Cricetulus griseus: one gene and its partners. The protein of the gene in region 1 purifies or fractionates together with the protein of each later gene. This does not show direct contact. Links are inferred from orthologs where the notes say so. Each region holds a gene or a part of one and is shown on either strand. Other genes may lie near its edges.

Region 1 (2,327 bases):
TCTCTGCCTCTATACCCCCAGGGCCCCTTACTGGGGTTTACAGAACAACATCCATGGGCAGTGTTTGTGAAAGGACCAACTATGGTGAAACTGGAAACAATCAGGAAATCATAGACTCAGGCTCACTGACTCAATACTGAGATTACAGCCAGTGTAATCACCATATTTGGTAGCAGTGACAATTTACTGATAGCTCAGAAAGCCACACAAACATCTTACTCACTAAAACACTTTTAAGATTCATCCATTATTGATAGGTGTGGTGTCCTTTAACTCCAGGACTTAGGAGGCAGGTGGATATGAGTCTGAGGTTAACCTGTCTACAATAGTGAATTCCAGATCATCCAGTTACATAGTAAGACCCTATCTCCATGTTTGTTGTTGTTTGTTTTAATCAATGTAGAAAGTGAGGAACATTCCCCATGAGTTACCAGCTGTCACCTTTCATGAGTTAAGAGCCTCTATATTTGTTTCTCAGTCACATAGTAAGTCAATAAAATCTGACATTCAGTTTGCTAAGTAGGTACGTCCCTCTGGCTTTGACCTAAAGAGAGATCAACATCCCAGAGGATCTTTAGTGTACCAAATCCAGAGTCACAGTGACTCCAAAGACAGATTAGAGCAATCTTGAAAAACACTGTTTTCCTTAATTTTTTGAAATTAAAATATAATTAAATTATTTTTCCTTTCCCATGCCCCCTCCAACACCTCCATGCTCCCCTGCACTCAAATTCATGGCCTCTTTTAGTTGTTGACCTAAATATATAAGCACAACCTGCTCGGTCCACAAAATATTATTTGTATGTATATTATTTAAAGGTTGACATTGGATAACGAACTAGGGGGAGGGAGTGGCAATCTGTTTTGGTTTTCAAGTCCAGACCTTGCTATGCTGTCCAGACTGGCTTTGAACTCAGTATCTTCCTGTCTCAGGCTCTAGTGTTGGGATTACAGGTACATGTCACCAAACTTGACTCAACCTTACAATCCTCAAAACAGACATACTATGCACAAGGAGGCAGTGCCAGAGAAAAACTGCATGCCTCACTGGACCAAGGGAGACTGGAGAAAGGGCAGAAACACAGAAACAAGGGTGACTTCAAGTAGAAAATGAGAAGAAAATATCTTACAACTGAAAGAAAATCAGGGTTATGCCCCATTTTATATTATAGCTCCCAAATAAAGCATTGAAAAAATACCTGGCTGCCACAGATGAAATTATATAAACTTTTAAACTGATTAAAACTTACTTTTTTGGCATCAAAATTTTTATAAGCAAATATTTATAAAATTTTAGAAGCAACAATTTCTACAAATGTCATATCTGTCCCTGAACATAATACTCATAATTTGCTTTTAGAACAAACTCAAAGTAAGGATTGGATTTCAGGCTTCCCAGCTGGTCTGCTTGAAGTAGGTCCTTCACCTCTGGCAAGTATTCGCTGAGCTGGATGCCTGCAAACAAAACACAGTCACTTATGATTTCAGAGATTCCCCAGTGAATGAGAGGCTGGCGCCAGTCACTAACATGCCCCATACTGGAGCCTCCTCCTAATCACAGTGCCGTAGGTCTGACAACAGCTTCTTCAGTGCCACCTGCAGGCTCTCACTGGTCAAAGCAGCCACTTCAGGTGAGGTCTGCAATAGTCTGCAATTGTCATTTTCTACACTTAATTCCAGCACTCAGCACTCTGAAGGCAGAGGCAGGCAGATCTCTGTGAGTTCAAGGCCAGCCTGGTCTACAAAGCGAGTGCCAGGATAGGCTCCAAAGCTACACAGAGAAACCCTGTCTTGAAAAAAAAAAAATCAAAAGACATTCTTTCAATGCAGAAGTTTTCAACTAATAGTCATTTCTGTGTTACCCTAACTGGGGAATAATATAATAGAAATACTGTCACAGAGCTGGCCACAATACCATAAAGGTATCAGTTTAATGTGGATGGCTGTCCTTCCAGTGCTCAGGATGCTGAGGGAGGGAATCCCTTGAACCTGAAAGCCCAAGACCAGTCTGGACAGCACAGTAAGACAGTCCCAAAGAAATAAAAACGCACATACAGCAGCATTTCAACTGAGTCAGAGACTAGAAGGATAATGGGGTCAGGAAAGCCAGGAAGCACCAATCAATGGACTATTGAAGCCACAGCAATTACATTTAACCTCACTTGACCAAGAAAATGGAACGAAAACTTTTAAATGAATAAGATCATATAATTTGTTGTATGAATATCAGATTGTCTGGTTTTAAGGAAGATAATCCTGGGGGGGGAGTACTTGTCCAGTAAAAATATTCTTGAAGCATCCAGCACCATCTTTTTGAATTTTTTATA
Region 2 (4,133 bases), about 100 Mb from region 1:
GTCTGTGTGTTTGTGTGTGTTTTGTTTTCTTGTGTGTGTGATTGGGATTTCTCTGTGTAACAACTCTGGCTGTCCTGGAACTCATTTTGTAAATCAGGCTTGCCTCAAACTCAGAGATCCACCTGCCTCTGCCTCCCCAGTGCTGAGATTAAAAGCACATGCCACCATACTCATTGATTTACAGATTATAATAATCTCAGAATTTTACAAAGTCTCTTACTAGAAATTAATCAATATTACAATACTCTATGTCCTAGACTGCTAGTACACAGTAATATGACAATAAATAACTTACTTTCCTAATCTGTGAATTTGGTGCGTGCTGTAAAAGTTTAGTTATTCTTAGATACCTAGGAGCTAGTGGCTACAAAAAAAAAAGAAAGAAAGAAAAAAAAAAAGTATTTCAGAAGTACACAAATATCTAGCCTTTTTTCTGGAATATTTTTCAGTTTAATTTTTCTGTATTTATTCATTCACAAAAATATAACTGAGGCCGATGAGCCATGTAACCTAAATACAAATTAATATACATGTTATTTTATGTTTGAGGCAGAGTCTCATATTGTAGTCCTGACTGGCCTGGAACTTGCTTTACAAACCAGACTGAACAAAAAGCCAGAGAGCCACATACCTCTGCCTCTGAAGTGATGGGGTTTTATTTGTTTGTTTGTTTTTGAGACAGGGTTTCTCTGTGGCTTTGGAGGCTGTCCTGGAGCTCGCTCTTGTAGAGCAGGCTGGTCTCGAACTCACAGAGACAGCCTGCCTCTGCCTCCCGAGTGCTGGTATTAAAGGCGTGCGCCACTACCGTCCAGCATGAAGTGCTGGGTTTAAGGACATTCAGAAAGACCAAAAAATATAAATTTTATCATAACCTAATAAAAAGACAAACACTTGAAATATAAAATGTGTGCTACAAGCAGAAGTATCAGTAAGGAAGTGTGTGAAAGCTTACATAGGAAAGCATACCAGGAAAAGTTTCCCAGGTTGTGATGTCCAAACAGATAAAATAGTACAAAAAAACACCAGGTCACAACTTTTAATATTTATACCACAGAACTCCTCTGTTCTCTTGAATTACTTGCTTTTAGGTTTTACTGTTTATATAAACATCAAATCTACAAGCTGATAAGTATGTTCAAATCAAACTGACAACTAATTTCGTGAAATCCTTTTTGTTGTTGTTTTGTTTTTCGAGGTGGGGTTTCTCTGTGTAGCTTTGTAGACCAGGCTTGGCCTTGAACTCACAGAGATCTGCCTGCCTCTAGCCTCCCGAGTGCTGGGATTAAAGGCGTGAGCCACCAACGCCTGGCTGCCCTCCACAATTCTTAAATGAGATGGATCTTCTATGTTGTCCAGGCTGGCTTCAAACTCCTGGGCTCTAGTTCTCCACCCTCAACTTCCATTACTGGTGACACTACAGGCTTGCAACACCACATCTATATTGACTTTTTAAAAATAATTTAAGCTGGGCGTTGGTGGCGCACACCTTTAATTCCAGCACTTGGGAGGCAGAGGCAGGCAGATCTCTGTGAATTTGAGGCCAGCCTGGTCTCCAGAGCGTGCCAGGATAGGCTCCAAAGCTATACAGAGAAACCGTGTCTCGAAAAACCAAAAAAAAAAAAAAAAAAAATTATTTTTGTTTTATATGAATTGATGTTTTGCCTTCATCTATGTCTATGTGAGGGTGTCAGAACTTGGGAGTCACAGACAGCTGCCATGTGGGTGCTGGGAATTGACACAGCTCCTCTGGAAGAGCAGTCAGTGTTCATAACTGCTGAGGGGTCTCTCCAGCAGCCCCTATATTGGGTTTACTCACCCCCAACGCCTGGGTTTTTTTGGGCAGTGTCTCTATGTGCAGCTCTGGCTGTCCTGGAACTCAGTATGTAGAGTAGGCTAGCCTTGAACTCAGAGAGAGCCGCCTGCCTTTGCCTCTCAAGTATTGGGATGAAAGGCGTGCATCACTAAGCCTGCCTCTTGAACTATTTTTAAAGTTTAGTTCTCAAAAGTCTAGGTTAGGGCTGGTTGTAATGGCAAAGACCTTTAATCCCAGCACCGAGGAGGTAGAGGCAAGTGGTTTCTTTGGTTTCGTGGCAAACCTACATAGTGAATTCCAGATCAACCAGGATTTGAATGAGATCTTGTCTCCCCGAGCTCCCCAAAAGTTTACATCGAGGTAATACTAATAAAGTTCTATTATCTTACTATATAAGCAAAAATGGTAGCACCTAAATGGAAATGTTTTGAACACTATGTCAAATGTCCGTTTCCTTCCCCCTACCAAATACAGAACAGCCAATAATGAGAGACTGGAACATACAGGGAGGGTGGAATAGTATAAAAATTCTAGGCTTGAGTCAAGACATCTGCCATTACTGAGTCCTCTCCCACCTTACAAAACCTCTGCACGTGATGCAGAATGGGGGCATTGACATAGAATGTCTTAAACGCTATGGCTACAGTAATTCAAGAATCCAATCTTTCTCACCTCGGTTTACACGAACATGCGGCAGAACAGAAAAGAACCTTTCATTCGGTTGACCAGACCCCTCCAATCGCCAGACAATGTCTTAAAAAGCTAACGCACTTCCGACTCACTCAACCCTCTGGTTAACCCTAGACAAGACGCGTACTGTAGAGTGGTCAAAGAAGTGATGGGGGGGGGGACCTCACTGAGTCCCCAAGGCACCATCCCCGCAAGGGCCAGCCTACCGCGGGCTGCTCACCTCTACCCAGCGAATGAATGAGTAGCACCGGAGACAACGAGGTTCCCTCAGCGTGGGCTGCCACCCGAGGCCCCCTGGCCTACGCCCCACGCGTGTGGACTCCCTCCCAGGGCCTCCCGAGCCAAGCCGCAGGGCCGCGGGCCCCGCCCCCTCACGCAGGCCCGAAGGAGCGCGCCCCGCACGAGACTGGGAGGCTGAGGGCCCGGGGCGTCCCGCGCAGATGCCGGTCCAAAGAAGAGGACCCGCCCGCCCGGCCCCAGCAGCACTCCCGACTTACCGCGGTGCGTCTGGGGTGAGGGCCCAGGTCCGTCTGCCACCCGCCGCTCACAGAGCAGCGCGCGGCCACCAGGAAACCGTCGCCGCCGCCGAGGCCGCCGCCGCCACCGACCGCCGCTTCGGGCGCAGCGCGCAGAGGCCCGACTGCGTCACACGCCGTCCGCCGTCAGAGGCCAGCCCCGGGCGTTCCGCCCTCGCCAGCCGGGCATTGGCAGGCCGTTCCGCCACTCGAGGCCTACCGTGTTACTCATTGGGCGACGAGCCTTTTGAAACCGAACGTGAAGGCGGTCTCTGAGAAGGAGTAGAGGGGAAGAGGAGGGGCGTGAGGAATTGGGTGGGGAGAAAAAAAAAAAAAAAGAGGGATGGTGGGGAGGGACCTGGAGTCCCACCCCTTTTGCCGCGACGGTTGGCTGATAGAGACTCGCGACGTCACACACGGCCCCTCGAAGAGGGCTGGGGAGTGGCTAGAATAGTGAGCACCAAAAAGCGGTGACGTTGTGCCGAGACCCCGCCCCTTTCCTTGGAGCGCGGAGACTCGGGCTACGGAAGCTCCGGCCAATCAGAGGGAAGGCCCAAGGATGACATGGTAACTGTTCTACCCTTCTTTAGTTCAAGTCTGCGGGTAATGATGGGCAGGCTCTCAGGCCACCCAGCTGGCACTTTCGGAGCTTGAAAACCCTTTTGGGATACCTATCAATCCATGTGGCTTATCAGCAGCCCTTCAGAGACCCTCAGTCCCCACTGTTGTTCTTGCCGGTCCAAGCAAGTCTTCTCACATCCTTTCCTCTGAATCTCTAAGGTAGATCTGAGCAATGGTCTATTATAAGGCTTGATCCCAATGAGGGTTCTGCTTCAGCTGCAGCTTCAGAACCTGTGCTGTTCTGGATGGATTGGGTGCAAATGTACTGCCTTCTCCAGGACGCATTTGCTAACCTCAACAAGTTGGGGTGATGCCTGGGCGGTCCTCTTATCAGGACTTGTTACTTTGTATCTTATTTTTCTATTCTTAGACTCCTCCCTCCCCTGGTGTTGGTCAAAGTTGCGTTTTCATCCTTTTGGTGTCTGTTTCCTCCTGGGATCTAGCTAAGAGCAGAGGAGTGGGCATGTTCTAGAAATCAGACCTGTCTCGTTATT
Region 3 (3,226 bases), on another chromosome or scaffold:
ACTAAGAGGCTTCTGTGATTCAGTAGCTTTCGCAGCATGGGTAGTCAGTCTAATATTGGTCCGGACCCCTCTTCTCAACATCAGGCACACACCAGGTGTACTGAGTTATCTGGAGCAGATTTATTCACATCTCCTTCTCAAATCCTTCCATGAGGTTGCTAAGAAGCAGTGAACCGGTCAATCTAACCTGGATAATTAGTCTCTGAACTGAGAGACAAGATAGTCTTTAAGTTACTGAACAAGAAATGCCAGCATTATAGTTAACCAAAGCAGTACTGGAAAATTACTCTTTTGAGGTAGATTATACAAAATTTGTAAAACTACAAAAAGGCAATCACATGCCCACAATCCAAATTCAACACACTATCAGGCAAAGTCCAAGGAAAGTACATGTAATGATTAGAAATCTGAGTAACACTCAAAGTGCATAAATTATAAAACAGCAACTTTAAAAAAGAATCAGTCTCCCACCCTCATTGTAAGACTGACTCTAGTATCAATGAGAAAGAAAATGGACAAATGTCTAGTAGCATATAAAATCACGACTAAGACAGAAATCCCCTCAAAAATCTAACAGACACACAGTATATACTTTACAGTAGTTTATTTAACATCCTAATAATAAGCCATATTTACATATTATATAAACGTATGAAGTTTTATAAAACGCCTGAACTAGAAGAACCCCACTCCATATGGAGTTACTTTACTTATTTACTTGTTTACAAAATTGTACAATTTATATAAATTATTTCCTTTCAAATCAGGTGACTTTTAATAATTCACACAAATACTGATGACTTTACAAACGGTACATGTTAAAATCTTGGGCTAAAAATTACAGCATTTTCCTGCGTAAAATTTGCTTTGGAAAGGAAGACAGCTTCTTTTTGCCTCTTCCAAGAGTTTTTCCTGCTGCTTCTGTAGTTTTTCTTGGTTTGTTGACCTTTACTGCATCAACTGGGCTTGCCAAGGGAGAAATCAGCTTAATTTCTACAGGAGGAGGTGACCAAGAACTTCCTTTTCCTGTGTTTCTGAAAGAGAGATACACTCAAGTAGGAGCAGCACAGTGTCAAGTGCTTCCTTCTGCAGACAGGCGAAGGCAGCCAAAGTACAGCTGTGGGCCAGTGGCAGGCAGGGTTAAAGTGCCAGCCCCCACCCATGCCCATGTGCGCTGACATACTTAGCTACATAGACGCATGAACACTGCTGCGTTACAAGCATGGCCCAAATACCTATGGCACATGCCTCTAATCCCAGCACTGGGTGTGTGTGTGTGTGTGTGTGTGTGTGTGTGTCTCAAAAGGAGGCAGAGGCAGGTGGAGTTTGAGACCTGTGTGTGTGTGTGTGTGTGTGTGTGTGTGTGTGTGTGTCTCAAAAGGAGGCAGAGGCAGGTGGAGTTTGAGACGTGTGTGTGTTGTGTGTGTGTGTGTGTGTGTGTGTGTGTGTGTGTGTGTGTCTCAAAAGGAGGCAGAGGCAGGTGGAGTTTGAGACCTGTGTGTGTGTGTGTGTGTGTGTGTGTGTGTGTGTGTGTGTGGTGTGTGTGTGTGTGTGTGTGTGTGTGTGTTGTGTGTGTGTCTCAAAAGGAGGCAGAGGCAGGTGGAGTTTGAGACCAGCCTGGTCTAGAGCTGAGTGACAGGGCAGCCTCCAAAGCCACACAGAGAAACCCTGTCTCAACAAAACAAAACAAAAAAGTTCCAATTCCGATGTTAGGTGTGATGGCTAAGAAAATTCCAGTACTCAGTTAAGAGAGGCAGGAGGATAGCTGTTGAGTTTGAGGTTGGCCTGGTTTACTTAGCAAGTTCCAGTATAGCAAAGACTACATGTTCTAAAGACCTACTCTAAGAATAAAAAAAAAAAAGGGGGGAGGCAATTCAGGGTTCAGCTTTAGGTGTGCCACAAAAGGGGGGGGGTAATACTCAAAAAGAGTAGCAACTGGTAAGTATGTATATCATAAACACATTGACAATTTACGTATGAGTAGTGTCATTAGTCAACTGCATCGTGTTTATTAATTTGTATGTTTACTAAAAATAGCCATGCCTAAGTACAGCATGAACAGAATACTGTGAAACAAAACTATCTCAAATGGACTAATTTTACCGCAGATACAGTGATATTGCCACTAATGAAACAACAAACTATCTTCTCTCCCAGTCCCACACAGTGGACAATGAACTACTTAGGCTACCCGTCTCCACTCTGTGGAGAATGCTAGTTACTGTCAACACTGGGCTGTCTACCAATGTAAGGAGCCAGTGCTAGGCACGTCTGAGAAGCCCCCTTTCCTAGGGGCTCCAGATAAAGGCTTACCTGCTTGCTTTTGTCTTCACAGTCCTGCTTCTTGTTTTCTGTTCTTCTATGATTTCTAGTGGTTTAGGGTCACTCTCCTACGGATTAAAAATTAGAAAATATAAATTGCCTAAGCAATTAAAAATTTTCTGTTTTTGATTTTAAGACAGAATTTCTCTGTTGGCTTCTCCTTCTCTGGCTGTCTTGGAACTTGCTCTGTAGACCAGGCTGGCCTCAAACTCAGAGATGTCTGTCTCCCAAGTGCCAGGATTAAAGATGTACACCACCTAAAGTCTGATTTTAAAAGTATCCTGCTGGGCTGGATAGTGGTGTCCCACGCCTTTAATCCCAGCTCTTGGGAGGCAGAGGCAGACGAATCACTTAGTTTGAGGCCAGCCTGGTCTACAGAGTGAGTTCAAGGACAGCCAGGGCTGCAGAGAAACCCTGTCTCAAAACCGCCCCCAAAAAAGTATCCTGCTCAGTTAAGGAGTCAAACATCACTAAAAACCCCAGGTCCTAGACAGGCCCCTCTAGCTCTTTAGTAGAAAATGTGATAATCTAGAAAAGAACTGTTCTTTTCCCGACTTCCACAAGGTGCCCATTCTCCAAGTCTTGTGCTTCCAGTGTCCACTGCCCTGAGTTAACACAATTTGAGCTGCATGTAAGTCCAGGTTCTCGTCATCTTGAAGGCACCGGGTCACCAGAGATGGGTTTCCTCCTTCCCAGAATACTTTCCACAGAAACTATCTGAAACCTACACGTCTACTCGGTAGCACTGCCCTGCCATGCTTATGAATTCCTGAAGCTGTTGCTTTTCTGACAGAAAGTTCACCCCTATCCCTATATATACAGAGGTTCGGGGCTGAAAGACTTTATTCAAACTAATTACTCATTTCTGTCAATTAAAATGCATTTTAAAGATTGATTTATTATG

Evidence for each region.
Region 2: the proteins of Nup133 (region 1) and Nup98 purify together in Homo sapiens (affinity purification with mass spectrometry; 6 studies listed by BioGRID and IntAct, with this or other methods). This does not show direct contact. The link is inferred for Cricetulus griseus from reciprocal best matches to the Homo sapiens genes NUP133 and NUP98.
Region 3: the proteins of Nup133 (region 1) and Ahctf1 purify together in Homo sapiens (affinity purification with western blotting; 3 studies listed by BioGRID, with this or other methods). This does not show direct contact. The link is inferred for Cricetulus griseus from reciprocal best matches to the Homo sapiens genes NUP133 and AHCTF1.

The regions. Positions count from the first base shown.
Region 1 is NC_048596.1:200,581,399-200,583,725, forward strand, and holds the end of Nup133 (nuclear pore complex protein Nup133), read right to left. Parts: intron 1,456-2,327; coding exon 1,319-1,455; 3' UTR 626-1,318; downstream 1-625. UniProt on the Homo sapiens protein: Involved in poly(A)+ RNA transport. Involved in nephrogenesis.
Region 2 is NC_048596.1:97,176,109-97,180,241, reverse strand, and holds the start of Nup98 (nuclear pore complex protein Nup98-Nup96), read right to left. Parts: upstream 2,863-4,133; 5' UTR 2,724-2,862; intron 2,633-2,723; exon of another isoform or gene 2,486-2,632; intron 1-2,485. UniProt on the Homo sapiens protein: Plays a role in the nuclear pore complex (NPC) assembly and/or maintenance. NUP98 and NUP96 are involved in the bidirectional transport across the NPC. May anchor NUP153 and TPR to the NPC.
Region 3 is NC_048598.1:14,465,729-14,468,954, reverse strand, and holds the end of Ahctf1 (protein ELYS), read right to left. Parts: intron 2,391-3,226; coding exon 2,314-2,390; intron 1,035-2,313; coding exon 839-1,034; 3' UTR 588-838; downstream 1-587. UniProt on the Homo sapiens protein: Required for the assembly of a functional nuclear pore complex (NPC) on the surface of chromosomes as nuclei form at the end of mitosis. May initiate NPC assembly by binding to chromatin and recruiting the Nup107-160 subcomplex of the NPC.